5 linked regions of the Macaca mulatta genome follow. The protein of the gene in region 1 interacts with the protein of each later gene in a biochemical or structural test. Links are inferred from orthologs where the notes say so. Each region holds a gene or a part of one and is shown in the gene's direction. Other genes may lie near its edges.

Region 1 (5,991 bases):
TAGAGACATTCTGCAGCTGTCGTTTAGAGCCCACACGAGCTTAACGACACTAGACACAGAAAATCCAGGGTAACTGCAGATAGCACTAGGTATGAAAGCTGGTACTTTAGATATAACTTTGCTTATATTCTGTTTGGTGCAAATAGAAAACATCAGCTTATCCTCTTGATATGCTTTGAGTCTGTCGTAAATAGGTATTCCTTTTCATAATTATTCAAGATAATAATGAAAGAAGTTAAACTACTTGACTGCTGTCCTTTCAGAGGGAGAAATTCTACTTACCACAATTCTGGATTTTCCATGCCCTTGATGGGTACTGTTGGTGTCACTGTATATACTCTTTATTTTAAGCTTTGTCTCATATCCAAAATCAAACAAAAAAGGATGTCTTCAGAAATGTAGAATTGTGCAGTTTGGTGCTTTGCCCACACTATGCTAAAATGAATGATTAATTCAATTGAGAACGCTCAAATTAAACTAATTTGGCATTGTGGGGTGACAGACAGCTAGCTGAAATGTTTTCTTTTTATCAGCTACGTGGCCATATTTTTGGAGAGAGCCAGAGTCTTCTGTCTCTTTTCTACTTGTAATCTATTCCAGGTGCTAAGAATTGTGGAAGTCCAGCCTGGGTAAGGTAGTGAGACCCTGTCTCTACAAAAAGTAAAAAATTAGGTGTAGTGGCACACGCCTGAGGCCCCAGCTACTTGGGAGGCTGAGGTTGGAGGATTGCTTGAGCCCAGGAGTTTGAGGCTGCAGTGAGCTGTGATTGCACTACTGCACTTCAGCCTGAGTACTGGAGGGAGACCCTGTCTCAAAAAAAAAAAAAAAAAAAAAATTATGGAAGTATTAAAAATGTGAAAAGGAAGAGTGAAAGGGATGCATTAGCTCCTTGATAACTGAGTTATTTATAGGTGTTTTCTATAGCATTTAAATGTTTCACATGAATATTTTATATATTTATAGTAATGATTTCAGTAGCCTACACCCCTTAAAGTGGACACACATCTATATGCTTTTCTTTCCCTCTTCTCTCTGCCTTACCACTATTTATTTCAGTACAAGAAAATAAAGGGTAGGGTTGAGTCAGTCTAGAATTCTGAATGGAAGGCTGATTTGGGAATCAGTATTGTCCACTATGTGCAAAATATGTTAAAACTCTTTGTGTCCATTTCTAACCATAAATTAACTGATTTTTGTATCCTCTTCTCTGGACTGTCTCAGCTTCTTTTGTGAAACCCTCATGGGAAGTTGTGTCAGTTTGGGGCCCTTTCAGCCCCTGTCCACGTGCACTCTGAAGACGTGCAGTGATAGGTCTAGCGGATCCCATTGATCATAGCCTACTTACAGCCTGCTTTCTGAAAGTGTTTTTGCTTGGTCCAACCTGTAAAGGTTGTGAACTTCTCCAGTTGGATACAACCTGTGTGCATAGCTGAGTCTCACGAGGGGAAAACTGACCTAATTGAGCAAGGCCAATGATTGGCTGAAATGTGTGCTGGACAAACTTAATTAAAGCTATAAATGGTGTTCTTCAGTAGGGCAGTATTTTTTTTTTTCTTGGTATTGTTTAGATGCTGAGTAAAATATTTAGTTTTGTCCCCAAGATTATCTTGTATTTGAAGACAAGAATGACAAATCAATAATTTTACATTTTCCCATTGTTTCCTTATTTGATTTTTCTAATAACATTACTTTTCTTTCCCCATATTCTAAAAATGGATGAGATTTTCTCTCATATGGATGGGATCTAACCTGTTTTCTCTCATATGGATGGGATCTAACCTGTTTTATTTAGGGAGTCACACACTGGACATCACCTGTATAGTCCAGCCCAAGCATGACTTCTTGTTACACATGGATGGCTAGGCAGGATTTTCATGCTTATCCAGAATTCCCAAATTAAGGGGAAGGGACATGAAAACAATAATTTAATGGTGTCTCTATATTTGGTACCACCAATATTTAGTCACCTTTTTTAACCCACCTCATTTTGTCAATTGAAAAAACTCTAAGAAGGCCAGAGGAAGAAAAATGCTATCTATAGCTATAGAATAGAAAGGAAGTATTCAGAATTGTTTATAGTTATTCAGAAAAGTCCAGACACCTCCATAATTCTTGCTTTGTTTCTGTTGCATTTTAGGCTCTCTCCATCTTTTCTTACCCACCTCCTAAAAGTAGTTCGAAAGCTTTTGGACAAACTTCTTTGTGTTGTGTCATCCTTTTGCTCCCCCTCCACCTTTTTGGGGGGTACATGTTTCTTCCTTTTAAAACGTTATAAATATTATATTGGGCAGCACATCTTAAGTGGTAGACATTTAGGTGGAAAAGTGAAAGGAATGTAAACATCTACTTTTACTTAGGGTCAATTTCATTGTTTTTTTCTTCCTTAAATGAGAGAACATTTTGATCTGTTCAGTCACACGTGGATGGGACATTTAGTGTGGATTTGATGAGTCTTTGTGTTTCTTAACGCTTTTAGATTTTTCTCTCTCTCCAAATTGTTTTAGTTAGAGAAGAAAGAAAAGTTGAAAGTTGAATTTATAGATGTGATGACATACACTCTAACCAAGATAGGCTTTAATCAAGAGATAGGCAGAAGCAGCTTTTTTCCATTTCTTCTTTGATGCTCTTGTGGTGGATTTAGGATATTGATGCAAATGAATTTCTTCCCATTTGGGGATATTGTACATAAATTTACTTACCTTATTAAATGATGATCCCAGTGTATTTGGTTATAGGTTTCTTTCCCCTGGAAATTTTGTAACATGCTTAGAATTTGGGATTTGGGTAGTCAAAAGTGTTTCCCCCCCGCATTTGACTTATTTTTCCACACATAGTTAATACAATTATAGCTTTTAACAATAAAGCCAGACTTCAAGACAACCAGGGAACCATAAATAGACAAATGTTAGCATCTATTCTAATCTGCATATAATTCTTTAAATTAGTCCTGACAGTGAGGACTGAGGAAACCCCTCTTTAGTTTTATCAGTTTAGCTGGAGTACTGTTTTCACCTGTAAAATTCTGCCATTTAAAGCAAGCAGCTATATTGGGAAATTCTTTGCAATAGTCTCACAAGGCTTACTTGCTTTAGAAAATAGATTATTAAATGAAGTTTGTTATTCTTATTTCATTGATGGAGCTTGAAGCAAAATTCATTCGAATCATTTTACATGCAAGGTCACTGGTGTGTTCACAGATGTATTTATTATTAGTTTCTCTACTTTATCTATATGACACCAAAACAACTGTGAGTTTAGTGAAACAAACGCAGTCTGATAGTTTTAAGTAATTAAATGATTCAATACCAACGATCCACCTGCTCTGCTCCATATAGATAGAGCTTCTTCTGTGTAATTCTGAATGAATAGCTAACAGTAGTCAGTTCATCATACTTATTGTTGCTAATCTACTTAGCTTCCTTGTGCTGAATAGGGGATTGAACCAGATGACTAATAATGGTCCCTTTAATGCTAAAATGGCTGTGATTTGACATTTTTAAAGAACCCACAAGAGAATGAACATAAGATTTAAGAACTGTTTTCCTTGATCATAAGAATTTCTCTTAAATAAAAGCATTGGGATGATAAAAATGTAATCAAACCAACAACATAGATTTCTTTCCCAGTCCCAGTTTTGTCAGCTGGTGTTTAAAATGAGTCAAAGATTGCTAATATTTTTTTTTCCTGTGCAGATCTGAAAACCATGAGTGAACGCCTCAAGAATAGGTACTACGTGTCTAAGAAATTATTCATGGCAGACTTACAGCGAGTCTTTACCAATTGCAAAGAGTACAACCCCCCTGAGAGTGAATACTACAAATGTGCCAATATCCTGGAGAAATTCTTCTTCAGTAAAATTAAGGAAGCTGGATTAATTGACAAGTGATTTTTTTCCCCTCTGCTTCTTAGAAACTCATCAAGCAGTGTGCCTAAAGCAAGGTGGTTTAGTTTTTTACAAAGAATTGGACATGATGTATTGAAGAGACTTGTAAATGTAATAATTAGCACTTTTGAAAAACAAAAAACCTCCTTTTAGCTTTTCAGATATGTATTTAAATTGAAGTCATAGGACATTTTTATTTTATGGAATAGATTTTAATCTATTTACTACTATTAAGGTAAATTTTCTATGGCATGTCCATTAGCTGACTATTCCATGATAGATGATTAGGGGTTTCCTCAAAACCTGTGTGTGAGGAAATTGCACATAGTAGCAAAATTTGGGGAAATTCATAAAATTTTCAGACCGTGAATGTTTCCATTTTTTTCTAATGGAATGTGAGAGTTTATTTTTATTTTATTCCGAAGGACTTTAAGGAAGGGATACATGATTTTAAAAAAGCCTGTAAGAGGTGAAATATGTGATGTTTGAAGTCTCATTATAGACTTTTTATATATATTTTTTAAAACACTCATCTAGATGAGGTGCTTTGAGCAGTTCTGAAAAATGCAGTTCCAGGAAAGCAACTGCTTTGATTCCTAAGGAAGAAATTCTAAATAATGCAAACTTTTTAAATAAGCATCTAGGTTTTTGATAATTCTGTGTACCTGCAACAAACTTGTTAGTACATAACCACTATTTTAATAATTATTTTCTCTACACAAATGTGTGATATCATATTTGACTTTGCTTATGCAGGCCATAAGTTCCAAAAGATAATTTCCCTGGCCACAAAGGCATAAACTTGAAAACACATGAGATTGAGTCAACATGCTTTAATAGGAAAAGATGTGTGGTCTATAAATGTATCCATCTGGTGAATCCTTGTTCTAATAAATATTTTTTTCTTTTCTATGATACACACAGCCACACTGATAATATGTAAATGAACATTTTCCTTTTTATATCTCCAGATTATGTTTATTGTCTGAGGTGAATTAAATTCCCACCAGGGTTTGCTGTCAGTATTTTAACACCCACATTAGTATATGGGTCCAGGGTCATAACCCCCTAAAATCCATCATGCAACCTTATTAATCTATCTTGGGATTTCAGTTTAGTGCTTGGATTTATTTCCTGATTACACTACATAGAAAAGTGAGACATCTGCCATCCCAGCTCTGGGAAAACCAACTAATATACAACCATATAAACGAAGGCCATCTTGATGGTCTCAACACTAATTTTTTATGATGCAAATTTATAAACTGATTTTTGTAAAGGACAAACTTTTAAAAGTGTATTTAACTTGATGTTTTCTATCAGCATAAATAAAATGGTCATGAATAGTCATTAAAAACAGTTGCCAGTGATAATCTGCATGAAGGAAAAAGACCCCCGCAAATGGCTGAGTTGGAAGTATTGTTTTTGATATGTAACAGATATTCAGAATGCTCACACTGAAAATGCCTCAACTTTTTAAAGTATAAGAAACCACCATGAGTGGTGTCTAGATTTCTAATGAAGAATGATGATACAGTTTGGATTAAGTATCTTGGACTGGTTTTAAACAGTGCTTTGTACCGGATCTGCCGAAGCATCTGTCCAGCCTGGTATCCTGTGAAAGTTTGTTATTTTCTGAGTAGACATTCTTATAGAGTATTGTCTTTAAAATCAGATTGTCTCTTCTATATTGAAAGCATTTTTATGTTTTCTAATTTAAAAATTAATATTTTCTTATAGATATTGTGCAATAAAGCTGAAGTAGAATGTGTGGTTTTTGCAAATGCTTTAACAGCTGATAAAATTTTACATTTGTAAAATTAATATATTGTACTGGTACAAAATAGTTTTAAATTATATTTTAAAAAGCTTCCAATCTTGTGGTGTGTTTTCTTCATTCAGTAGGCTGAGGGTAACAGAACAAATTATGATCTGGTTGATGACCATCAGTTGAATCCTTAAACCTTCTATCTTAAGCATTCTGTTGCATTTGGGGGAGGTTTCATAAAAATCCATATCTCATCAGTAAGAGGTTTTCAGGAGAGACGCTTACTCTGTCTTTTGAGTTTTCCACTGCATCTTACCCACTTACCCACTAAACAATAACA
Region 2 (5,609 bases), on another chromosome or scaffold:
GATGCCATCTGCTGACTTTGAGCCCCAGCCTTCAAGCTCCCGATCCTTTTCTTGCTGTTAGCTTCGTCCAGGGAGTTCCATTTCAGAGGGATGTTTTTGTTCTGGAATTTCTATGTGGTTCTTTATAGAGTTGCCATTCGTCTTCCAGAATCCTCCATTTTTCTGCTGTTTACATCAACACTTGCTGTCATCTCTGAGCATGTTTATAGTAGTTATTTAGGAGCTTTTGCTGGCTGATTCCAGCCTTGGTCATCTGCAGGTCTGTCCGCTTCTAGTGTTTTATTCTAATTAGAAGCCACATCTTCCTACCTCTTCACCTGCATCATCATAATTTCTTATCATAAGCCAGACATCGTATGGAAAAGAATGGCAGAGACTAAAGTGAAGAACCATCTCGCCCCAGCAGCCACTGCTGTCCTGTGTCAGGTGTGGCCGGCGCTGGCCTGCGCCTCTAGCTGGTTTTCGCCACCGGCAGCCGGACTCCCTGGGGCTTTCTGTTGAGCAGAGTGGGAAACAGCGTCTTTTCTGCTTCCTGCGCTGTGGGAGGTGCCTTTCTCTGTGTCTGCCTATCTGCCTTCCTTCCTCCCTCTCCTGCCCGTTCAGTGGGATCCCTGGCAGGGGGTGCTGCCAGACGGGGGCTGTTCCTGCATCTGGGGAGCTGCCCGGGTACTCCGGCCGTGACTGACCTCGGAACTGCTTCTCCCACCTCGGCCTGCCGAGCCCTCCTCCCCGGACCGGTTGCCTCCTGCAGCAGCCTCGTCCCTGGGGATGAAAGGAGCCGCCATATTCCTTCTGGTAGAACAGGCGCCTGCCTTTCTAGGATGTAGTGTATTTAGACGGTCCTCAGCTCTTCTGACTGGCCTCCCAGCCTCCCCCAGGCTGTTCCCAAGTGACTGGGAGTCCCCTGGGCGTTTGGGCCACATCTGGCTGCCCTGTCTGCCTGGCGGTCTGGTCTCCTTGGCCCTCAGGCCGCCGCCACCGTGGGCCCCTCACACGTGTTGTTCCAGCTCTTCGGCTCCCTTCCCATCCCCTCATGTCTCCAACAAGCTTGGTCTTCTCAGGGATGCCTGCCCTGGCTGCCACCTCTGTAACTGCACCCGCTTCCCTCCTGCCCCAGCGCCCAGCCGGCTTCCTTCCTGTGCAGCGGTTCCCTCTGAGGCGATGCAGGAGACACCACATTGGCGGGCTTGGGTTCTTGTGTCCTTCGCAGCCGCGTCTGGGCTTCTGAGGTCCTGTGTCCTTCGCAGCCGCGTCTGGGCTTCCGGGGTCCTGTGTCCCTTGCAGCCGTGCTGTTGGCTCACGGTGGGCGCATGCACCCTGCCGACCCTTCCCCGGGGAGGAAATGGTGGCTCTGGCTCCGTGGCTCCTGTGCTGGGGCCCACGCCAGCCTTGGACTGCTGGGGTCGGGGCAGGCACGTCTGCCCGGGATGGCTTTCTCTGCCACTCCACTGGAAGGGGACAGGACATGAGCCCAGCGGGGCCTCCCTGGTCTGGAAGGTTCCCTCCCGCCCCCTTTGCCATCTCCACCTAGTCGTGGCTGGAACTGAGATGCCAGAGACATCGATGGGTGGACCGGAAAGCAGGCCAGTGGAGGGACCTGGGCACATAGGGCGTGTGTGGGGTGAGTGGAGACCCGCTGACGGTCCGTTTGACACTGAGTGGTTCGTGTCACGTCCTGTGGACAGGCTGCGGGGGGGCGTGGCTGGCAGCTGGTGTGGGCCGAGGGGCTCGTGCACCCTTTCCCCCCCGTGCACAGCCTCCACCTTGGCAGTGGGCGCATTGGGAGCAGACACCTCGTGTGGAGATACCTCGCGCCGGCACCTTGGCTTGACCACAGCTGGTGTCCTTGGCAGATGGTCAAACTGAGGCACAGGGGCCACTCCGATCCTGGCTGTCAGGGCTAGCCTCCCAGCCACGGGTGAGCGAGGGTTTCACACTGTGTCCTGACACCACCAGGTCGCGTGGGGCAGGCGGTGGCGCTGCGGGCCAAGGCCTTCGGCTTCAACGTGCTCTTCTACGACCCTTACCTGTCGGACGGCGTGGAGCGGGCGCTGGGGCTGCAGCGGGTCAGCACCCTGCAGGACCTGCTTTTCCACAGCGACTGCGTGAGCCTGCACTGCGGCCTCAACGAGCACAACCACCACCTCATCAACGACTTCACCGTCAAGCAGGTGCGTGGAGCCGGGGCACAGGGCTCTCCTTCTGCGGGGCAGGCACAGGTGGGGGTGTCAGGAAGGTCCCTCCCAGCAACCACCTGCACCTGGGCGAGACCCTGCCTTCAGTGAGCCACATGGCGGCGGTGCCGGCCCTGCTGGGGGAAGCCCTGTCTGCCCAGATGGCGTTTTCCATGTTCTGAGTTCTACCCAGGATGCCTGAAATACTCTGGATAAGACAGAACCACATACCTTTGAATCCTAAATTCCCCTGAAGCTCTTGCCACTGTCACAGTGGAGATGATGCAGCTACCTGGGGGCATTGGGCCTGCCCTTCTGACTTCCATCCTGTGCTGCCAGGTTCAGGTTTCACATCTGCAGCTGGAGAGGGCTGTGCTCAGGTCGGCCTCTGCCTCAGCTCAGCGCAGAGCGCAGCCTCAGCCCGTGTTTCCCTCGGGTGGGCGGAGCTCGGGTGGGCGGAGCTCGGGACGGCTGCCTCCCGCTGGCTGTTGGCCTTTCAGGGAGTCGTTATGTGTGCACGGTGATGTGTGTGTATGTGGGCAAGTGTGTGTGGGTGCCTGTGTCTGCCCGTTTGAGCTTGTGTGTGCGTGTGTGTACACGTGTCAGAGGCCACCCACCCACTCAAGCTGCCCCAGCAGCCTGTAGCCACAGGGAGGATGAAACCAGGTGCCCACCTCCCCTTCCTTTGTTCACAGAGCCAGTGGGTTTGGAGCCTTCTAGTGGACAGGGTGTGGCACGTGGATGCTGGTCAGGGCCCTGCCATCCCTGAGGACCTTGGGTGTGAGGCTGCAATGGGCAGCAACTCACCAAAGAAAAGCCACCGTGACCCACCCGGCTGCCACCCAAGTGCAATGGCTGGGTGGGCTTCCTCGGAATGAAATGGGGGGGTTGCAGGAAAGCCCTGGCCACGAAGCTGACAGGGAGCCACTGCAAGGGCCTTTTGCAAAAGTGCATGAAAAGTGAGCCTGTCCGGAGGCCCCACTGGGGTTGGAGTCAAACACCACACCTCAGAGTAGACGGCCCTGGGCTTTGTCATCCCAGGGAGTCCCACCTCGTGGGCCGAGGCCCTGTTGGGGGAGGCTGGGCTGGAGGGGACCCAGAGAAGGGGTACCACAGGGGGACCAAGCCAGGAGCCCCCACCCAGTCCTCAGCTCAGGGCTTGGGCAGGAACGTAGAGCTCTCTAGGAGGTGTGGGGCCATGCAGGTCTGCCAGGGCCGAACCTCAGCCAGCTTGCCAGGGCCGCGGCGCAGCACGCCTGAGGTCTTAAGTCCTAGCACCCTGGTGAGCCCAGGGTGGGCCTGGGCTGGGAAGGGGCCAGGGAGCTGGGCCTCCTCAGCAGCGTGCGTGACCACCTTGCTTCCCTGGCCGCTCGCCCTGCACGGAACCCTGACTGGGCCTGGCCTGTCCTCATGTCTTCCAGATGAGACAAGGGGCCTTCCTGGTGAACACAGCCCGGGGCGGCCTGGTGGACGAGAAGGCGCTGGCCCAGGCCCTGAAGGAGGGCCGGATCCGCGGCGCGGCCCTGGACGTGCACGAGTCGGAACCCTTCAGGTGCCCTCACAGCCAGTGTCACCCCCTGCTCTTCCCTGCCCACCATCCTGCCGGCCTTGACCTGCAGATGGCGCCTCCGCCAGGCCGGGCACTTGCTTGTACTCAGGCCTCTCGCTGGCCGGCATGGGGGAGTTTGCTGCTCACTGTGGGGTGAGGACGGAGCCACGGGCTCCAGGCCTGCCTCGCCTCGGTCCTGTGAGGGTTGATCGTCCTCCTCAGCCCCTCTTCGGGCAGGGCTCCCCACCAGCCAGGAGAGAGTGAGGCCCCAGTGTCCGTGAGTGGTCCCCACAGGCCCTGGCCATGGAGTCATGGCGTCATGTCCAGACCTGCAATCCCTGCAGCGCCCTGGGACCCCAGGCAGCCCTGGGTTGGATGGTCAGCCACAGGAGGAGACACCCCGCAGGGGCAGTACCAGCCTGCAGCTCCTGGGGCTACAGGACCTTCGGCCGGGAGGGGCCAGGCCAGCATGTCCCCCCATCAGGGCTCCTCCCCCAAGGGGCTTGGAGATTAAATCCTTTGGGCTCCCACACCCGCTGCTGTCAGGAGCCCCTGGTGTGTCTGATGGTCCTGGGGCTGAGCTCTTGTGCTCAGCCCGCCTGCCAAGCGGAGCGGGGCCGTGGGGTCTGTGGGTCCCAGGCAGGGTCCCCCACAGGGGTTCCAGTGCCCAGCCACTTCCCCCCCGCACCCAGCCACAGCACTCGGGCTGCACTGACCATGCTGTGCTGTTCCCAGCTTTAGCCAGGGCCCCCTGAAGGATGCACCCAATCTTATCTGCACCCCCCACGCTGCGTGGTACAGCGAGCAGGCTTCCATCGAGATGCGAGAGGAGGCGGCACGGGAGATCCGCAGAGCCATCACAGGTGGGCCTGGGGGACTCTTCCTGCCAGCCCCAGGCCTGGCTCATGGGCTCGCATCCGCCCAGCAGCCAGGCCCATGTTCTGCCAGCTCAGGGCCCATGGTGCTCTCACTGCACCCCCAGCAGGGACCTCTAAGGCCAAAGTCAGGTTGAGCCCTGGCGTCGTCTTACACACAAGAGCTGCTGGGAAGTTGCTGGGCTGAGCAGACAGGTCCCTCAGCAAACTGGGCACATGCTCTGGGCTGGGGGTCCCCACGCTGCGAGGGTTCTGGTGCCCTGAGAGACAGGACCCTGCCATGCCTTGGGAGCCCCGGGGCTGAGAGGGAGGAGCACACTGCCGAGAGCTCTACAGCCCGTGTCTTCAACCCAGTGGGCCACGCTCCTGGGGCCCCCTGAGAGCCACAGCTATTCCTCCCTCCTGCCTCTCCCAGGCCGGATCCCAGACAGCCTGAAGAACTGTGTCAACAAGGACCATCTGACGGCAGCCACCCACTGGGCCAGCATGGACCCCGCTGTCGTGCACCCTGAGCTCAACGGGGCCGCCTATAGGTGAGCAGGCCCGCTGGCCCGGAACAGCCACCAGGAGGGCCCGAGGCTTCCCCTGGATCCCAGCACAGCCCCTGGCGGGAGGGGCGGCGTCTCCACTGACTGACCTGGAGGATCTGGGTGGAACTGGTAAGGCCCACCTCACCCGAAAGGCCTATGAGAACCAGGGCCTCTTGGAAGGAGCTGGGGTGGCCTTCAGGACCCAGTGCGCACAGGACTACTGTGGGCACGGGGCCTGTGGGAGGAGGGGGCTTTGGGTGAGGCGAAGACCTCATGTTCAAGTCGCCTGGAGACACCAGGGCTCCCCTCCCCTGCCCTGAGAAGTAGCCCCCGTAGGCGGGAGCATCCGTGCGGAGGCGGGATCCTCACCCTGACTGCTGGTCCCGCTGGAGCCGCCCCTCAGTGCTGCAGACGCTGTGAGGGCAGGTGGGGCCCGGTCAGGCTGCCTGTAGGGGGCCTCACAGACGGACCCTCTCCCAGC
Region 3 (5,991 bases), on another chromosome or scaffold:
AAGTGACCAGGTGTAGTGGCGCATGCCAGTAATCCTAGCTACTCAGGAGGCTGAGGTGGGAGAATCTCTTGAACCCGGGAGATGGCGGTTGTAGTGAGCCAATATCGTGCCATTGCACTCCAGCCTGGGCAACAGAGCGAGACTCTGTCTCCAAAAAGAAAATTAAAAAACAGAAAAGTGGCACAAATAATGGAACACACTGGCATATCCCAAATCATCACCTTTGACCTTGGAAAACATTCCTGCTCTGCAAGACTTCATGGGACTGACTGTCACTTGGGGTAGGCTGTCAGGATTTGGGATCCAGCGGGGGAAGTGGGTTTGGTTTACGGTAGATTTTCTTGTCAACAGTCAACACATTCAGTGATGCTTGGTGGGGAATCTTGCTGGCTAGACCTTCACAACCTTTTGCAGTGGTGGGTCAAAACCCGTGACTGCGGTTGTTCTTTACCTTTTTTTTTTTTCCCTTCAGGAAAAGAAGATTTTTCAGATCCCCTGGATGCACGCGGCTAGACATGGGTGGGACGTGGAAAAAGACGCACCACTCTTTAGAAACTGGGCAATCCATACAGGTACCTAAACTCCCTGCGGCGTTTATAGAGGCGGGCACTCTTGCTTAGTTTTGTTTTTATTACACATAAAATATCCTGGCTTACGACCTCATGAAGATGGCTGTGAAAAACCTGTGACTTGTTGCTAGGCACATCCAGGACACATGGGGTGCAAACTACAGCCGTCAGAAGTAATGCTCCCCTCATCTCGTAGACTCTTAGTCCTTCAATTTCCTATAAATGTAGTATTCTAAGAAGTTCCCTAGGTGTTACCAGGGGAATAGAAACTCATTTGTTCTGATGCCATAAACTTTGATCAAATTTATCTACCCTAGAAAAGGTAGTCAGAAATACATTTATTTATTACAACATTTACATAGGGAGCTATTTACAGGAATGGACTCTATTGGAGCGTCAGATGAAAAAGAGGCACTCAGGTTCCCTCTGCCTGTTGACTTTGCAGCCTCTCGGTCTTCTGTATTTTTCTTACGCTGGTGCTCCATTCTTCCAGCATTTATAGTTTCCTCAAGCTGTTCAGTAGAACCAGGGTGACCAGCTTGTCCCAGTTTGTCTGGAACTGTTCAAGTTTTAAAAACAAAATTCCCACATCCCAAGAACCTTCTCACCCCCAGGTACACCAGGACGATTGGTCACTGGAGGTATAGCCTGGAGTGAAAAGGTTTCCTCATACTGCCTGACCAGCAATACTGTGTTTCCAGAAATTTCTTCCTCTGTATCTAATGTTTTCTATCTCTTTCTTAATCTTTATCTCTTTTGTTAGGAAAGCATCAACCAGGAGTAGATAAACCTGATCCCAAAACATGGAAGGCGAATTTCAGATGTGCCATGAATTCCTTGCCTGATATTGAAGAAGTCAAGGATAAAAGCATAAAGAAAGGAAACAATGCCTTCAGGGTCTACCGAATGCTGCCCCTATCGGAGCGGCCTTCTAAGAAAGGTAAAGGCATTTACAGACTAAAACAAGATCACTCAATTTATGTCATCGTGCCTTCGTGACCTCTTCATTTCTACATCCGCAGTCACTTCGCAGGTAGAATAGCCTGTTCATGCTGTGGGGGATCATTCCGCCCCTACCTGGCTTGGAAACAAGACTCTCAATTCACCAAAGGCAGTAAAAGATACATGTGGAATTTTGATCATGTACAGAGTAAAGCAACAAGTTCATTGAGAGTTTCAGAAAGAATTTAATTTGAGGGAAATGTTTCTCTGGAGGCCCTTCATGAATTAATACAAAACTACATTTTTGTTGCCACAGGAAAGAAACCAAAGACAGAAAAAGAAGACAAAGTTAAGCACATCAAGGTAATCTTGGGTGTTTCAGAGAGAAAGCCAAAGTTGGGTTCCTATTAATGACTCATACTCTGCCTCGTAAAGGCGAGTCACAGGACCTCTGCGGAGCGTGTCATCTTTCTTCCTTTGCTTGTGTCTTCTGCGCTTTACATGTTTGCTCTTCGGCATGTATCCACTTGCAGACATAGGTACACAGGGCCCTGCCTCATCCCGTTTCCCTGGGAAATCTATGAATGAAGTCACAGATTCTCACTGCGCTCGGCAGGCTGCGGCCTCCATCTGGCCACCACGGCCGTTGCCAGCGGTCATTCTGTGCCAGCTAAGCTCCACAACAGCTTGTGGCTCATACTATTAAGCATATTTTCAGGCTATTAAATATACGTTAGTATGTATTGAATGTTCTCTACCTCTATAAAATGTGTGAACTGTATGTTACAGACGTCCGTCACGGGCCCTTCGGTGGGGGACCAGTGGTTAGCTTCAGTGCTCCATCAGCACAGCTCTCAATGACTGCCTTCTGCCCCCTGCATCGCTCGCACCCCACAAGGGTTTCCCGTGGGATGTGCGTGTGTGTGTGAGTTCTCACGAGGCTGTGTGGTCTGCAGTCCCCTGTGGTCTGAGGGTCTCTGTGCACAGATGAGGTGGCCCTTGGTAAACAGTGAGAGAAGAGCCAAATATGCCCCGCAAAACTGGGGACAAACCTCAGTGGCTGAGCAGAGGGCAGACACTGCAGCCACAGACCCAGGGATCTCAGAGAGATTGTCTAGCTCGCTGGCCTCCGTTTGCAGATGAAGAAATTTAGGCAGCGTATTTCTGCACTGATACTTTCAGTTTCACTTTCACTATTTTTTATTTTTAACGAAATTTAAATATTGCACTGTATTAAAGGCCTGATTGTGCTTTAACTTTTCATTGTGGAAAGATTTTATGCACATAGAAAGGAGACAAATGAGTAAAATTTACTCCATAGGCCATCATTCAGGTTAATTTTAACCTTAATCAGCTCCCGGCCAGTTTTGCTTCATCAATAGCTCTTCCCATTTCCTGACTTCTAACATGAAATTGCAGCCCTTCAACCATTTTTGACTTGCAAAAATAATTTGTGTATTTATTTATTTATTTTCTTTTTAAATTGAGACAGAGTTTTACTCTGTTGGCACAGGCTGGAGTGCAGTGGTGCGATCTTGGCTCACTGCAACCTCTGCCTCCTGGGTTCAAACGATTCTCCTGCCTCAGCCTCCCGAGTAGCTGGGACTACAAATGCACGCCACCACGCCTGGCTAGTTTTTGTATTTTTAGTAGAGATGGGGTTTCACCATGTTGGCCAGGCTGGTCTTGAACCTCTGATCTTAAACGATTCTCCCACCTCAGCCTCCCAAAGTGTTGGGAATACAGGCGGGAGCCACAGCACTCGGCCCAAAAACAATTCTTTATAGTTCAGCTTAATATAATGTTTGAAGCAAATCCCAAATCTCGTAGCATTTCTTCCATAATAGTTCAGTATATATATTTAAAAGATAAGTGCTCTGTAAAAATACCATGATGTCATTATTGTACCTGAAATAGTGCACGGTAATTTCTCAGTATCAGTGAATATCCAGCCAGTGTTCAGAGTTTCAGTTGTTTCATACATGTTATAATTTTCATGTGGTTTGTTTACTTAAGACCCATATACAATTCACATGTGGTTTTTGAATGTCTTTTAAGTATTTTTTAAGTGTATATGTTTCTCCTATATTACCTCTTAAAATATATATATATATTTTTACAATTGAACAAACCTAGTTGTTAGCCATATCATTTCTCACAGATCTTTTTTTTTTTTTTTTTTGAGACAAGGTCTTACTCTGTCACCCAGGCTGGAGTGCAGTGACGCGATCATGGTTCACTGCAGCCCCAACATCCCGGGCTCAGGTGATCCTCTCGCCTCAGCCTCGCTCTAGTAGTCGGGTCTACAGGTGTGTGCCACTAAGCATGGATAATTAAAAAAATTTTTTTATAGAGGTGAGGTCTTACTCTGTTGCCCAGGCTGGTCTCAAACTCCTGGCCTCAAGTGATCCTCTTGCCTTGGCTTCCCAAAATGTTGGAATTACAAGTGTGAGCCTGGCCGACTTAGTATTTTTAAGGCCTACATTTTGATTCATGTTATTTAGTCAGAAAAGTATACCTTTCTCACCAATGTGTGAGAATTTGCTACAATTTCAAGTGTGACTGAATCGTATTTACTACTGTTTTCCCATCATCTAGCTCGGTGTCTGGCCCGGAACAGACCACTAATATGTATTTGATAACTGAATAGATGCATCAGCGTTTGTTGACTAAATAGATGCATAAATAAGTAGGATATGTGGGGTGGGAGTGAGGGGTTTTCCATTAGGATGCAGATTTAATTTCCGAATCACAGTTAATGAAGAAATATGTTGCCTTTTCAGCACACGTTGCTCACATGCATCCACTGTATTCCATCGAACGCCAGATGCCAATGATGCTAAGATGCACTGTTATTTTGTGTATCTCTTAGAAAAATTGCTTCCAATGAAACCAGGACACATACTGGATTGAAAGGCACGTCCTCTTTCAGGGATGTGGCAATGCGAGGAAATGTCCGTCTTAGTAGTTCCTGCCACGTGGTGGTCCCGTTCGTCCGGGATCTCTGCAGCCACATCGGCACCAGCAGTGTCTTCACATGGCCCTAAAATGAGCAAGTTGTGGAAGGTACAGTCCTAGGTGGGCTTGACCATCCTGGCCCAGGGAAGTAAGTGAGAGATCCCCTTACGTGCAGCCATGTGGGTCAAGAGCCACCTTAGCCAAGTGTGTTTCATGAAATCCTTGTGCCATGAGGATAGGATTGACACCTGAAACTTTTCTTTTGAAGAAGGCAGGTGATTCATTAGGCCTACACACAGCCTAACTTCGGAATTTCGATCTACTTGCATTGTACTGTACGGTAAAGCAGGGAAGCTCGGAAGAGGCCAGTGGGCTTCCCGAGTTCTGTGCTTCCTGGCTGTTCAAGCCATCGTGTGGACTCTGTCTCTGCAGAGTGTTTGAAAAGTGAACTCCCCAGGGCGTCTGGAATTGGAAAGTCAGAGGACAATTACTAGCTGTTAATATATTACCTTTTAATTGTATATCAAAACACCCAGGGACTGAGTTAATACACCCTGTGCAAATATACTAAACCTACTTAGTCTATCCAAATATGTAACCGGATACACTAAGCAGGTTTCTTCTGAGGAAATTTGTCTTTCATGTGGTAACTAGGTATGAAAATTTGCTGTTGAAGCAAGCTCTTCCCAATCTTCAATTCAAGTTGAAGTTTTAATTAGCAAACTGTTTACAACATGTAGGCCAAGTGTTAGAATTTTCTTGGGGTCACTCATGATTCATCTCCGTGCTGTATGTCCCCCAACAAATAGTCTCCCCGAGACTGGGAGACCCAAGGCCCAGTAGCCATGTGGTATGTGCAGAAATGGCCTCAGCATCCTCTGACATTTCCTTTTGTGAGCATATCCCTGCATACTCAGTGAACCATGTTTTCCTTGAGCTAAGCCCCACCTGTGCGGCAGTAACTGGATATCTAAGGAAGTGAAAACAAGAAAAACAGCTGGGTACAGTGGTACATGCCTGTAGTCCCAGCTGCTCAGGAGGCTGAGGTGTAGGAGGATGGCTTGAGCCCAGGAGTTCGAGGCTGCAGTGAACCATGATTGCACCACTGCACTCCAGCCTGGGCAACAGAGCAGGACCCCTTCCCCACCTCAAAAAAGAAAGAAAAACAATAGTGAGAAATCCTGGATGCTACGTCATCAGTGCATACATATGTTTCAGAAAATATCATGGAATGGTTTGCTCTGTCAGACTTCACACAAGGCCAAGAACAGTAAGGATAGAAGTAGTTAAAACAGAGGGGTGCTCGTTGATATTTTTCAGCTGATTCCAAGTTCCCAGCTATGATTATTGTCTCATTGAGTTCTCCCTGTGATGGGCAGGTCGTTTCCCTTGTAGACATTTAGGAAATGGATGCACAGAGAAGCTGATTCATTTTCCCAAGGCTGCATTGCTTTACAGAGCTGAGATTTGAATCCAGGTTTGTCCACCGGGTGCCTTGTAGCCTTTGGGGCCTAAGCCAGGC
Region 4 (6,674 bases), on another chromosome or scaffold:
CATTAGTGAACCTTCTGGGGGATTCCATGGAGTATATTCTTAGCTTTCCTTCCTAGCTACTATCTCAGGGTTTCATTTTCTTGAATCTGCTAAGTATTTTAGCTTCAAAAACTGTGTTGCTGTTACTTCCTCTCTTGTTCTCCCTGTCTTTGTGGATTTCTGCCTTCTAACAAATGCTCCAGAAGGAAGTTAAAGTCAACACATACTAACCATCCACCAACTTTACCCAGAAACTCAACCACCCTTTCAGCCTTTAGTCTCTATACTCCCCAGACACAGCTGCTCTGCTTTTCTGTTGCTTCCATTTGAAATGAGGCGGCCCAGCCCTCACATATACATAGGCCATCTCTGTCAAAATTTTACTTAGCAACGAAAACATGGACTCTTAGCTAAGAGATTTTCTCTGGGGAAGAGCTGTGTCTGTGCGGAAGACGCTTCCATGTAGGTTTGGGATAAAGTCAGTGAACACCATGACAATCATCAAACGCTTGAGTGGATTTTTGAGAAACCGGCCAGGGGGCTCAGTTTTCTATCCAGAATGCCACAGAATACAGTCAAAATTCTTTGGCATCCACATTCTTGGGAAACTCTTGGAGGGGGTGCATCAGTGCCGAGGACCCTTGGCCATGCAGGGCATCCCCTCACCCAGGGCAGGCTTGTTTTGTTCATGGCTGTAGTAGCCCAATACCTAGAATAGTGCACACTCTAGGAGGCCTACCACTGTGTATGCTGGCTGGGGTGACCCGTGGAGAGACGTGGCACCTTGAAGATTGGGGAGAATTCTGCTGGCTGGAAAGCGGCCAGGAGGGTATGGGTGGCTGATAAGCTGGTGTAGGACCACTCCTTCCTTAAGAAGTGACTGACTGTGACATGTGGTGGGAATGGAGGAACATTCCGAATCATTAGTTGGTCAGGACACACGTCTCTTAAATGTCATCAACACAATCTGCCTAGAAGAAACATGATTACTTTCTGCCAAGCACAGACCCTCCTAGAGGGACCAGACCCAGCCCAGCACCTTTATAGTCAGCCCAGAGGGGAGCAACTCAATCAGCGAGACGGCATTTTTGGGTTTTAGTTACACATACTGAGGGTGCTCAAACATCCATGCAATTTGCTGTTCACCATAACACGCAACCCGGAATGGCTGTTTCGGTCCCCCGTCGGTTACCTGAAAAGCGGTCTTACTGGGCCCCAACCCCAAATCAATTTGGTGAGAACCTGAACTCCGCTATTAACCTTAATTCTGAGAGAAGAATGACACCCCCCTCCCACTGCTGGGGTCCACTGAGGGTGAGTGCCCGGGCTCCTTCATTCTCCAGGCTCCTCTCAGAACACAGCGAGGGTGGCGGACTCCTTCCAATGTCCATTAAGCACAATGCACCGGGGAGAGGCAGTAGGCGGTTTGCTGAGCCCGGTTCCGAGGCGGTGGGAAGTTATTCACCGGCGTCTCCGAGGTCAGCCCAGGCCTGGAGAATGGCTGGGGCCGCGGGCTGGAGTAGGGGTTACCGGTGAGAGTCAAGGGCAAGTTGGCCAGGCCCGGGCCGGGAGGCGCGGGCAGGACGCAGCCGAGCATTTCCTCCGGGAGGCCCAGACAGCGGGCGGGTGGGGCGCGGTGGGCGGGGTCCTCGCAGTTGGTGGCTTTTGAAGCCCCCCCGACCGCGGTGGGAGAGGGGCAGCCTAGAAGAGTTGGCAGCGGGCCTGAGGCGGGAGGGGGAGGAAGGGGCCCCGCGTTCCCTCAGCAGCGGCGCCGGCCGCCCTGGCACGTAGTTCGCTTCTGGAGGCACAGGCCGCGGTGGGCGCGCCACCCGGGCTGCCAGGCTCACCGCCAGCCGAGGCCAGACCTGTTCGGGCTGACCCGAGCTCAAGGGTAGCGCGGCCGCACACCGGACCCCGGCCGCCAGGAACGAGCCCGAGGAGTCTGTCCCTCCCGCAGGAACTGCCCCGCCCGGACTCCCGGAGCTCTGCAGGGCAAGGGCGTGGAGCGGGCGAGCGGCCTGAGGCTCTAGGCGCGGCCACCCGGCAAACTGGCGGCTGAGGGCGCGGCGCGAGTGCTTTCCGCCCCCAGGCAGCCCCGCGCCCGGCCGAGCAGACACGCCTCCCGGCCGGCGCCCATCGCGGGAGGAACAAATGGCGCCCTCCAGAAAGCACTCCGCTCCACGCCGGGGGCGAAGGCTGGCCACCACACAAAAGCTCCGGCAGGGAAGTGCCCGCTGTGTCCCCACTGCGGGGGGTACGGGCAGCAGCTCCGCGCCGCGACTACCAGGCCCACCACCCCCGGACGTCATGCGTCAGCGCGCCCCGCTCCAGTTTCCGCCCCTCCTCCTACCGGCCCAGGGGACACGCCCACTGGCGCGCGCAGGCCCCGGGACCGGGCACGCCCCTCTAACGGCCCGGATTGGCCTGGCCGTGCACTCACGGACGAATGGCGTCCGTCCTGGCAATCGGCCACGCCCCCTTCCCCAGGCGCGGGCACGCGACCCCTCCGTTCCTCCGGTGCGCGCTCTGGGCTCCCCGCCCCCTCCGCGCGCGCAGCTCCCCGCGGCCGCCGCCGCCTGTAACCTGCGCCGCCAGGATGTGGCTGGGGGCTGACGTCGGGTCCAGATGTGGCCCCGGCCCCGCCCACCCCCGGGGCCGGGCCGCCCACACCGAGCCGCGGCGCGCTCGGCAGCTGTCCCGCCTGCCACAATGCGCGGCGAAACTGCGGCCGCGACTTGGCGTGGTGGTCCCTAACGTCGCCGCTCGGCATCCTTAGAAGCGGCCGCCCCTGACGCCGCGCGGGGACCCCAGTCGTCCGCGCCCCCCATGCGCTCGCTCTTCGGTGCCCGGCCGGGCCGGCGCCTCGCAGACGCGGAGCCGCGCGGGTGACGGCAGAGGCGGCTGCGCGCCCAGCCCAGCCCAGCCCGAGGAGAGGGCGCGCCGCGCCCCCGCCCCCCGCCCGCTCTCCCGAGGCCGTGGGTGCGGATGCGCGGCTGACGCCTCGCAGCAAGAGCACCGCCGCCGGCCCCAGCCCGCAGCATGGCAGCCGCCGCCTATGTGGACCACTTCGCCGCCGAGTGCCTCGTGTCCATGTCGAGCCGCGCGGTCGTGCACGGGCCGCGTGAGGGGCCGGAGTCCCGGCCCGAGGGCGCGGCCGCGGCCGCCACCCCCACGCTGCCCCGCGTCGAGGAGCGCCGCGACGGTAAGGACAGCGCCTCGCTCTTCGTGGTGGCGCGGATCCTAGCGGACCTCAACCAGCAAGCACCGGCGCCCGTCCCGGCGGAGCGCAGGGAGGGCGCCGCGGCCCGGAAGGCGAGGACCCCCTGCCGCCTGCCGCCGCCCGCCCCCGAGCCCGCCTCCCCCGGCGGCGAAGGCGCGGCGGCCGCGCCCCCCAGCCCGGCGTGGAGCGAGCCGGAGCCCGAGGCGGGGCTGGAACCCGAGCGGGAGCCGGGACCCGCGGGGAGCGGCGAGCCCGGCCTCAGACAAAGGGGCCGGCGGGGCCGAAGTCGCGCCGACCTCGAGTCCCCGCAGAGGAAGCACAAGTGCCACTACGCGGGCTGCGAGAAAGTTTACGGGAAATCCTCGCACCTCAAGGCGCACCTGAGAACTCACACAGGTCAGTGGGGCGGCGCGGGCGCCCGGATTGCTCGGTCGGGGTCAGTGCGAGCTGCCCGACCACGCCCCCGGAGCCGCCGGCGGGGCGCGAGGTAGGGGCCGGGCGGGCCGGGACGCCCGGGGCTTCGCCCCTTCCCCCGCCGCTCCAACCCGCTGCTGGCCCCGCGCGCCGTGCGAGGCGGGTCCTGGCTCTTGGAGCCGGCGCCCGCCAGGCGACCGCGCCCCCGCCGGGCACGCCCCCTCCCCGGGCGCGCTCGGGTGGGGCCGCGGGGGCGGATGTAGTCATCTGGGTCGGGGGCGGGGACCCCGCCCGGCCGGGGGGCGGTGTGGGCAGGTGCGGACAGCCTGGGTGTGGACCGCAGGCGGCACTCGTGACGGTGGGGCGCCCGGTAGCGGGGGCAGGGGACGCTCTCCGGGGTCCCTCCTAGTCTCCTCCCCCGCCGCCCGGGCGCGCGCTCAGGAGGGGAGGGGCCGGCCCTGGCGCGCGGCGGGCGAAGTTCACGTAGGGACAAGGCTTCCTTCGCCACTCGGCATATTCTCCGCTCTCTTCTTCCTGTAATTTTTCCAGCGCTCTAAGGTTTAATTTGTCGTAACCAGAGTCAGCGGCGGCGCTGGGCGATGCGGGGGGCGGTCCCGGCTCCCGCTCCCCGCCTGCGGCTCTTTGTGGGAACCCCCGCCCAGTCGGCCGGCGGGGGCGCGCCCGGCCCTAGGGCTCTTCGGCCTCGCAGCTCTCTCCGGAAACGAATGCCCTGGCTGCTGCCTGTCCTCCGTGCTGACCTCTCGCCTGCCCACCTCTCACCTGCCCTGGGCCGGTGCGCGGCGGGCGGCACCTGCGCCAGGGCGGGCGCTGAGCCTCCAGCCTGGGGATCACCGCCCGCCCCCGCCAGCCCAGCGGCAGCAGTTCCCACGCGCGGCCCGATACTTTGTAGTTGATTCATCTGTGGCGGTTCCCTCCCCCGCTTTTTGTTTCGTTTTTAACACAAAGATGAAAACGTGTTAATGGACGGCAATCCTCCCTCATTTTTGTGTGAAAATTTATATGCTTCCCCTGAGCTCACGTGAGTTCTTCTGTGACACTCACCTCTTCGGGGGGCAGGCTCAAAACCCATGTACTGAATATTGTTGCCTTGTGACCAAGGGTGGTAGTGTCTCATTTGTAAAATAGTTCACGTAGTGATTAAAAGGCATTAAAAGAACCTGCAGCCTTGGAGGCCGTAGAGCTGAAGGCCCCCTTTTTTCCGGTACATTTGGAACTGAAAGGGCCCGAGGTCTGCAGGTGAGGCATTCGAATTTCGGACTAACTTTCACTCCGGAGGCTGTTGTGGCCGCCCCAAACCGCGTGGCAAGTGATGGGCTAGAGAGAGAGAGCAGGGCCATTTCTAGGCATTCGGGGTCAGTTAAGGGTATGGGGGCTCAGGTTGGGGGTGGGGATCAGTATGGACTCAGAGTTCAGCTCGGGACGCGGCTGCAGGGTGGGTGTGGCCCTGGGGGAGGGGCCAGGCAGGGCTAGGCTGGGCTCGGCTCCAGGTGGACCCTGAGTATCGGGTCGGGGCAGCGCTTGGGGCGTGGCTGGGGTTGAGATCCGCTTTGGGGGAAGATGCGCGTGTTGAGCGGGATACTTAATGTTTGGGAAATTTTTCTACAGCCCCTGTCAGGGTGGTCTGCCACTCGGCAGCACTGGTAGCTGGGAATTGAGGAGGGGGGTGGCCGAGGGGAGGGGCTCGCCGTGGTGGGCGGGGCCGGCTCGTCAGGGCCTCGGCCCTGGGATGTCTTCCTGGTGGGTTCACCTCCGGCTTCAGGCTCTGGCCCCGCGCGAGCCCCTTGACTAGAATATTGGTGCAGGGGCTCTGGAGACTCGGGCCTCCCGCCGTAGGTGGGGCCAGTTTCCTCGGAGCGCCTGGAAACCGAAGGCAGGCAAAAGAGAATAGAACCAACCCTTTGAGCGTTTGCAGTGTGCTAGTGTCCATTCTTGAAGCAGAGAAACTGTTCCACCCTTCGGGTGTGCAGACATCAGAAGTGCTACCTCCAGGGTGGAAACCGGCCTCCATGTCGGGAGTGCACAGGGCTCCGGCAGCGGGGTGGCGGGGAGTTGGGAAGAATGCAGACTTTCAGGCCCCTGATGCCGACCCGTTCTAGCCTGCAGCTGGGAATGCATGTTACCGGTACCCCAGGTGACCCATTATGAGGGTTGCACTGCCCAGAAACCTGCCTCTGGAGGGAGTGTGGTTCAGCATCTGGCGGAGGGCACCCCTGGGAAGCCCATTTCCAGTTCCTGCCCAGATGGGCAGAGCGTAAGTAACTGGTGTTCCTCCAAGGAGAAGAGGAGCGTCTTGCAGAAGGAAGAAACCCAGGCAGCCCTCAGGGATGACTGAGAAGGCAGGCCACGAGGGGATAGCTTTGCTGCAGCCATGGGCTCTGAGGTGTCTGTGGTTTGTGGGCCTCTAGCAGCATTGTGGGGTCTCTGCAGTCAGTGACGGAGGTCATGCCGAACCCTGTGCTCCATTAGGTGTGGGAAGGTGCCCCCGCCGCTTCCTGCATCTCCAGGATCCACAGTAATTTCATGGCAGAGGGTGAATATCAAAACCAGGAAGGTAGCCAGCTGCTCTGTGCTTTTCCTCTGTGACCAGGGACCGGTTCCCAGATCTCCCTGCAAGTTGGTGATGTCTGCCCTGACCACCTGCAAAGTCTTCAGGGAAATGAGGTCAAGTATGTGAAGACCCTTTGGGAAATGCAAGGGTCAGCCTTGACTCTGGAGGCACTTGTGGTCCCTTGGCCGCGGCTCTGCTCTGATTTTCCACCCCCACTCTCTGAACAGTTGCATGCTGAGAGCTTTCTGTCCTGGTTAGCTGTGTAGCAGTGTGGTCTCCCAGTCCCACTCTCCCAGGAGTTATTCTGTGGACACATTGGTCTCTGTCACATTTAGGTAATTGTTGATGTTATAACGAATGCATAACACCAAACCTAGAAAAGCATCTTTGCAGCTCGTGCTACTTTGTTATTTGGCCAGTTAGAACTTCCCAGGCCAGATCTGGAAAGTTTGCTAAAAGGGGCATAGGGGAGCAGCAAGACCAGGAGCAGAT
Region 5 (5,991 bases), about 1.7 Mb from region 1:
TGTACTTACCCAACTCTTTGAAGATATCAGGACAGGAGGAGGAAGAACTAAAAGTACAGTAAATTCACTTCCTGCTCAAATGCTTTTTTGTTTTGTTTTGTTTTGCTTTGGATGTATTCTCAAAATGCAATTTAATTGTAGGAGGGTCTCAGATACTCCAAATAACAAAATTGCTAAAGTCTTTTTGTGGGTTTTTATTAACATTTTCATCTTATTTTTCATGTGGATGGTTTCTATCTGACAGGTGCTAGATGAAAATTATGGCTGAGATGAGAAAACACTACTAAGAAAAAGGGATTGAATGCTTTTATTTGTTTAGGCGATTTTGCCAAAATACCTTCAAGCCAAGGAAGGAATCACCAGTTTGCATATTGCTATTTTTGCTGTGGTCTCCCCAAGTTGTCTTCTGATCCCTGACGGGTTCTCTCTCTGGTATAAAACAGCTGAATGAATGACAAAAATATTGGCAAGCTCTGCGGCTTGTTTTTCATGCCTAGCCTGTTGGTACCTCCGAATGAGTTTGTGAGTTTTTCTAAGTAAACCTAAAGGGGTTTATTTGTCAGACCTAGAATCTCTTGTGAACAGTTCGCTAAAGCTTTGGTGAAGACTCACATGTAGAAGGATATAGCTGTTTGATTGCCGGCTTTTGTTCAGCAGAAACAAGCAAATAGAGAATCTTTGAAGGGCCTCTCTGGTGTCAGTAGGAAATCTTGATTTTTTTAGCTACGGTTGGTGTGCACTAAGACATCTTCAGAAGTTGTTATGATTCTGTGAGTCCAGAGGACAGAGCTTGTAGAGGCATTAGTATTGTAGGACTAATTGTGGATCCTGGGTGCCCTGTTAAAGTAACCCTTGTCATCATTTATGCTAAAGATGATACCCTTCTGGCAGTTTGCCACAGTACAATTCAGATGCATCTGCTTTTAACCCTTTTCCGTTGTCACTGGAAGTCTGACAGTGCGCTGCATAAACACCTTGAGTACCACAGCATTCCGTAATACCAATTTCTAGAAGCAGTGTCTTTCTAATAGTGGTGTGGCCTGTGCTTGTTAATCATCTGGCTACTGAGTTACTATATTGGATTAAAATATATAAAGAGAGAGCACACCAAATCTATGCAGATTCCTTTTTCCTAGTATGTCCTGATAAGGTCAGTTTCCTTTTCTCTCTCTCATTTTTACCTTATTTGCTATAACAAAGCTTGTTGATTTTAAAGACTTATGGGTACTGTGCTATCTTTTTAGGTAGGTTAAATGAGTATTCATAAAGCAAATGTTATTTGTCTAGATTATGCACATATTGAAATTCTGTATTATGATGACCGGTTTGGTTAAGTACTTTTTGTGGAACCAGTTAGAGTTAATATCTAAAAAAGGAAGAAAATGAAAATTTCTTGGTCGAAGATAATTTGTTTGGACACAAGCAGGAAAAGTTTATTATTAGCAAAATCATGTAGGCAGTAGAAAGGTGGGTTCTTCTGAAGATAAACAGTGAGTTGTGTTTGCATACTGTATACTACTCATAGCAAATTAAGGAAGACACATTTTTCTTTCGTCACCATTATTATTTGATCAGAAAGGTAATTCTGCATTCATTGCTTTTGGAAAATGCACTGTTAATTTAGAGCACAACTTACCTTAGGACCAAGTTCACATTCTACTTCAATATTTCTGTTACAACTTTAATATGAGAATGTATATATTTGTGTGCATGTGCCTGTAGTTCTGTACCCAGTCTGCCTTGGAAGCACAGTGAATCTCTTGTGATTATTTATTTTCATAGCTAATTTTTCCTCCCCCCACCAAGCTGTATTTCTGAAGACTGTTGGTTTTCCATCCCTCTTTCTTCATCTTTTTGATAGGAACCATGCTGCCAGTTTTCTGTGTGGTGGAACATTATGAAAACGCCATTGAATATGATTGCAAGGAGGAGCATGCAGAATTTGTGCTGGTGAGAAAGGATATGCTTTTCAACCAGCTGATCGAAATGGCATTGCTGTCTCTAGGTTATTCACATAGCTCTGCTGCCCAGGCCAAAGGTAAATAATGTGTACGTGGGGTTGGAAAAATTGCTTGGCATTCTTTGTTTACCTTGCAGAGAAAGCACTGAATATTTTTATTCAAAGAACTGTAGCCTGTGTATTACATTGGTTCCTTTTAGGCTGTGGCTTTAAAAAATTGGCTTAATTCAGTTTAGTTTAGTTAACACACATTTTGCTCATGTGGAATGTCGAGGTAGATTTTTTTTTTTAAATTACTTCAGCTGAATCATTAGTATGCTTATTGACCTTAATAATCTGCTCCACTGAGGACCCACAAGGAAGTGAGGAGCGTATTTGAGCAGATGGACTGTTGAGAGTCAATTTGCATTTATGACTGAATATCTAGTTCTGTTTCTTTTATTCTGTTTCTGATGGTTTTATGGGCTGTAAAGTATTTTTCAATGCTGATTCCCACTGCAATAGAGAATCTTATCTAAATCGTAAAGCCATTTAGAACTGGTTCAGCTATGTCTTATTAGAACTTCCTGTAAGTTAGGAAAATGTGGCCTTATGCATAGGTTTTATTGATGGGGTTTTATTTCCAAAATAATAAACAACCCTACAGTCATTTACATAATTTTACAATTTGGAAAGCTAAGCTGTGAATATTTTCATTGACCTGCCTTTTAGAGGGAAGGGAATCATTCAGACAGAAATAACGGTATTGCTTGTGGTAGGGGTAGTAGGAAAGAACACCCTTCTACTAGATATATTATTTGAGGGTAAAATATTTAGTGACATATCCTCTTTATCTGAAATAGGGCTAATCCAGGTTGGAAAGTGGAATCCAGTTCCACTGTCTTACGTGACAGATGCCCCTGATGCTACAGTAGCAGATATGCTTCAAGATGTGTATCATGTGGTCACATTGAAAATTCAGTTACACAGGTGAGTCAAGACAGCAAATCTAGGGTGAAACCTTCTTCTTACCTGATCTTTTGAAATGAAGCATCTCTCTCTGGTCAACCTTCAATTTTTTTTTTTACTCCGTGTTTCAGAAAGGTTAATACAGATCGATTCGATTTTGTTACCCTATCCTTCTGCCTTTTTTCCTAACTTCAATGTATAATTTAAAAGCAACCCCCCCAAACACACACACAAAATGTGTGGGTTTGTGCAGGTTATCAAAAGAGAAGACTTTTTACGTTTAGTCAATTAAATAATGCATTACAAGAAGGCATTTTACATAAAGTTTACTTAAGAAAAAAATATTTTTGCATATCATGAACAGTGCCATCTGTGTACATTTTGTGAAAGACTGTCTTATTCACTATTACCACAATCTTATTTATTTATTTTTTTATGATTTTAATTCGTATGTACAGAGTAATGAAAGGAAATCGGTTAATACGTTAAAGCTTTTCACGATGGCTCAGGAGAAAGCAGTACACCTTAAATTGTCTTCCCAAGCGCATCAGAGCAGGAAGGTAGAAGTAACATGAAAAAATAGCCACCACAGGCAGCTGATGTATAATTCATGCATCGATACAGCAGATGTGTTGTATAAAGTAATTAACTAATCGGAACAATCAGGAGACCGAGAGCAATCTCCAGATGCATCTGTTTGATGCGCAAAATGAAATCTGTCTGTCTTAAAGGAATGTTCTGCAGCGGGATGCAATCTTGTAATAATCCCCTTTCTAATCTATGTCTCAAATAGTTGCCCCAAACTAGAAGACTTGCCTCCCGAACAATGGTCGCACACCACAGTGAGGAATGCTCTGAAGGACTTACTGAAAGATATGAATCAGAGTTCGTTGGCCAAGGAGTGCCCCCTTTCACAGGTACTTAGCATAGCATGTAATAAATAATAAGACATCATGGGCAACCCTGATTTGAGGTTTGATGGAGCTCCCTGGTTTAAAGCAACTGGTATCTGAAGCAAGAATCTGCCAAAAATGTAAAGTGACTTGACCACTGGTGACCTTTTAAAATATGCCTGATTTGTTGTGAACAGAGCCTATACGCTTTTTCTCCCTTGGGGAAAAGAGCCAAAGGACTGTTTACAGGAAAAACAGTTCAGTGGAAGACTCCGCTGGCTAATTTTTAGATTTGTCTTCTGAGTGCTATGAGCATGATGGCTACATTCTCCTGAATGCCCTTATTGAAGAAAGAGTCAAGGTGGTACTAATCCCACAAAGCTTTGGTGAGAGGGAATGGCAGTGGCAGTGTGAATGCGTAAAACTTCACCGTGCTATCTGAATAAAACAACAGTACAATTCTTGGATATTCATTACCAAAAAATTAAAAGTATTTTAGTACAAATAATTATGAAAATAATTACCCTTAACTAAAGGTTGAATAGTGGTTAATTCATTAGGATTTTGTGACCAGTTTTGTGGCTTTGGTTTACTACTTTTCTGTTTTTTTTTTTCAGTGGAATTTTCTTTTTTCCCTCTGAGATACCTGTCATACCATCAGGGATATTTGAAATGAAATAAAGATTTTTAAATTATTTTCCTTGATTTCTTTGTTTAGAATAAATTTGGTGGAGGGCAGCTAAAACTCTAGATAGAGACTGCCTACCTGCTTATAGACAGAAAGTCAAACATCATTTTTGATGAAACTCAGCTGATTTCAAATAAAAAAAAAAAAGGATGCCATGAATCTACTCTTAAAGGGCTGCTTAAAATGGGTTTGGGTACTGAGGGGATGACTGTAACACATGTAAATATATAATATGTTACAGTCATCCCCTCAGTACCCAAACCCATTTTAAGGCCATTCCATGATACAGTATTATTAAAATGTTGGTCCAACTAGATTTTTACCAAATTTTTAATGTTTTCTTTTAATTTGAGTTTTAATTCTGAATATTAGTCTCAGCCATTTGAACTTGAACTGTATGACGCTGCTGTAAACATTTCTGCAATTGAGAGATCTCAAAGTGTATTTCTGCTATATTCTGAGTAGCAGATATTCTCAAAATGTATTTCTAATATGAGGCTCATGAAGATTATTGGGTACCTTTGAAGGGAATCTTGTAGGCTTTGTGCTTCTGTTTCATAGAAACTCCATGCATTTCAGATTTGCTAAGTTACATTCCAACATTTTTACTTTGATATTTGCTACAAATTTTAGGAATGAAGCAAATGAATTAAGTTTATATTTAATAGCTTTCTATATTCTTCTACAATAAGCTATAGCCACAGTTTATATATTCTCTGTATTGCTAAGTGTCCATTTCTTGCAATTCAGAGAAAACTCTTTTTTGTCATTTCAGTTACACCTTCAGCTGATCTCCTATCTTCCCTCTCTCACCCTTGGAATAGAGAGGATAGGAATTTATAACCATCAAATAAAAATAATTTAAACTAATTAAACACAAATCAATAGGATGATAGAATAAAGGGGTGACTCTTACTTCTGGGACTTTGTTTTGCAGACAACTCCAGATAACATGTTACATGGTTGCTAACATTTGAAAATTTGAGATGATCTAGAAATAAACTTGTTAAAAACTCAGTTAAAACATAATATAAACACCCAGTACTGGAATCGCATGTGTCTTTATGTTACTAAATGTCCCATTGATCGTGGAAGCATATTCAGACGAAGACTTAAGGCATTTACTATGAGCTGAAGAAGAGGATGTCGGTAGAGATATTTATTGATACAGTCAGTGAGAACTAATTGTTAAATGACATCAACATTCAGCCAATAAACTCCACCTCGCTATAACTTATAAATAGAATTGTGAATTTACTTAATGTTATCATAGAAAATGAATTGCATACAGACAATTATAACATTAAGTAGAATGACAAAATGTAATTCAGGACTTGGTTTTGGAGTCATACATTGATGAATTTCTGTAGAGAGAGGTTTGCAGATACATGGCCTCCTGTGGCTGGATACCTCACTGTAATCATTAAGTGATGGAACTAGGCTACAATTTCAACATCAATTATAATTACAGTATTCTTTTCTTTAAAAAAACTTCTAAAAAT

What was found.
Region 2: the proteins of KAT2B (region 1) and CTBP1 form a complex in vitro, tested with the Homo sapiens proteins (2 studies listed by BioGRID, with this or other methods). The link is inferred for Macaca mulatta from reciprocal best matches to the Homo sapiens genes KAT2B and CTBP1.
Region 3: the proteins of KAT2B (region 1) and IRF2 form a complex in vitro, tested with the Homo sapiens proteins (2 studies listed by BioGRID, with this or other methods). The link is inferred for Macaca mulatta from reciprocal best matches to the Homo sapiens genes KAT2B and IRF2.
Region 4: of the proteins of KAT2B (region 1) and KLF13, one has a biochemical effect on the other in vitro, tested with the Homo sapiens proteins (2 studies listed by BioGRID, with this or other methods). The link is inferred for Macaca mulatta from reciprocal best matches to the Homo sapiens genes KAT2B and KLF13.
Region 5: of the proteins of KAT2B (region 1) and SATB1, one has a biochemical effect on the other in vitro, tested with the Homo sapiens proteins (2 studies listed by BioGRID, with this or other methods). The link is inferred for Macaca mulatta from reciprocal best matches to the Homo sapiens genes KAT2B and SATB1.

Annotation. Positions count from the first base shown.
Region 1 is NC_133407.1:28,408,677-28,414,667, reverse strand, and holds the end of KAT2B (histone acetyltransferase KAT2B), read left to right. Parts: intron 1-3,692; coding exon 3,693-3,886; 3' UTR 3,887-5,759; downstream 5,760-5,991. UniProt on the Homo sapiens protein: Functions as a histone acetyltransferase (HAT) to promote transcriptional activation. Has significant histone acetyltransferase activity with core histones (H3 and H4), and also with nucleosome core particles.
Region 2 is NC_133410.1:1,288,021-1,293,629, reverse strand, and holds part of CTBP1 (C-terminal-binding protein 1), read left to right. Parts: intron 1-1,956; coding exon 1,957-2,171; intron 2,172-3,595; coding exon 3,596-3,726; intron 3,727-4,458; coding exon 4,459-4,586; exon of another isoform or gene 4,587-4,661; intron 4,662-4,987; exon of another isoform or gene 4,988-5,013; coding exon 5,014-5,131; intron 5,132-5,608; coding exon of another isoform or gene 5,609-5,609. UniProt on the Homo sapiens protein: Corepressor targeting diverse transcription regulators such as GLIS2 or BCL6. Has dehydrogenase activity. Involved in controlling the equilibrium between tubular and stacked structures in the Golgi complex.
Region 3 is NC_133410.1:192,856,380-192,862,370, reverse strand, and holds part of IRF2 (interferon regulatory factor 2), read left to right. Parts: exon of another isoform or gene 1-281; intron 282-472; coding exon 473-572; intron 573-1,332; coding exon 1,333-1,509; intron 1,510-1,827; coding exon 1,828-1,874; intron 1,875-5,991. UniProt on the Homo sapiens protein: Specifically binds to the upstream regulatory region of type I IFN and IFN-inducible MHC class I genes (the interferon consensus sequence (ICS)) and represses those genes. Also acts as an activator for several genes including H4 and IL7.
Region 4 is NC_133412.1:7,845,085-7,851,758, reverse strand, and holds the start of KLF13 (Krueppel-like factor 13), read left to right. Parts: upstream 1-2,502; 5' UTR 2,503-3,018; coding exon 3,019-3,595; intron 3,596-6,674. UniProt on the Homo sapiens protein: Transcription factor that activates expression from GC-rich minimal promoter regions, including genes in the cells of the erythroid lineage. Represses transcription by binding to the BTE site, a GC-rich DNA element, in competition with the activator SP1.
Region 5 is NC_133407.1:30,109,646-30,115,636, forward strand, and holds part of SATB1 (DNA-binding protein SATB1), read left to right. Parts: intron 1-1,861; coding exon 1,862-2,038; intron 2,039-2,802; coding exon 2,803-2,929; intron 2,930-3,701; coding exon 3,702-3,825; intron 3,826-5,991. UniProt on the Homo sapiens protein: Crucial silencing factor contributing to the initiation of X inactivation mediated by Xist RNA that occurs during embryogenesis and in lymphoma.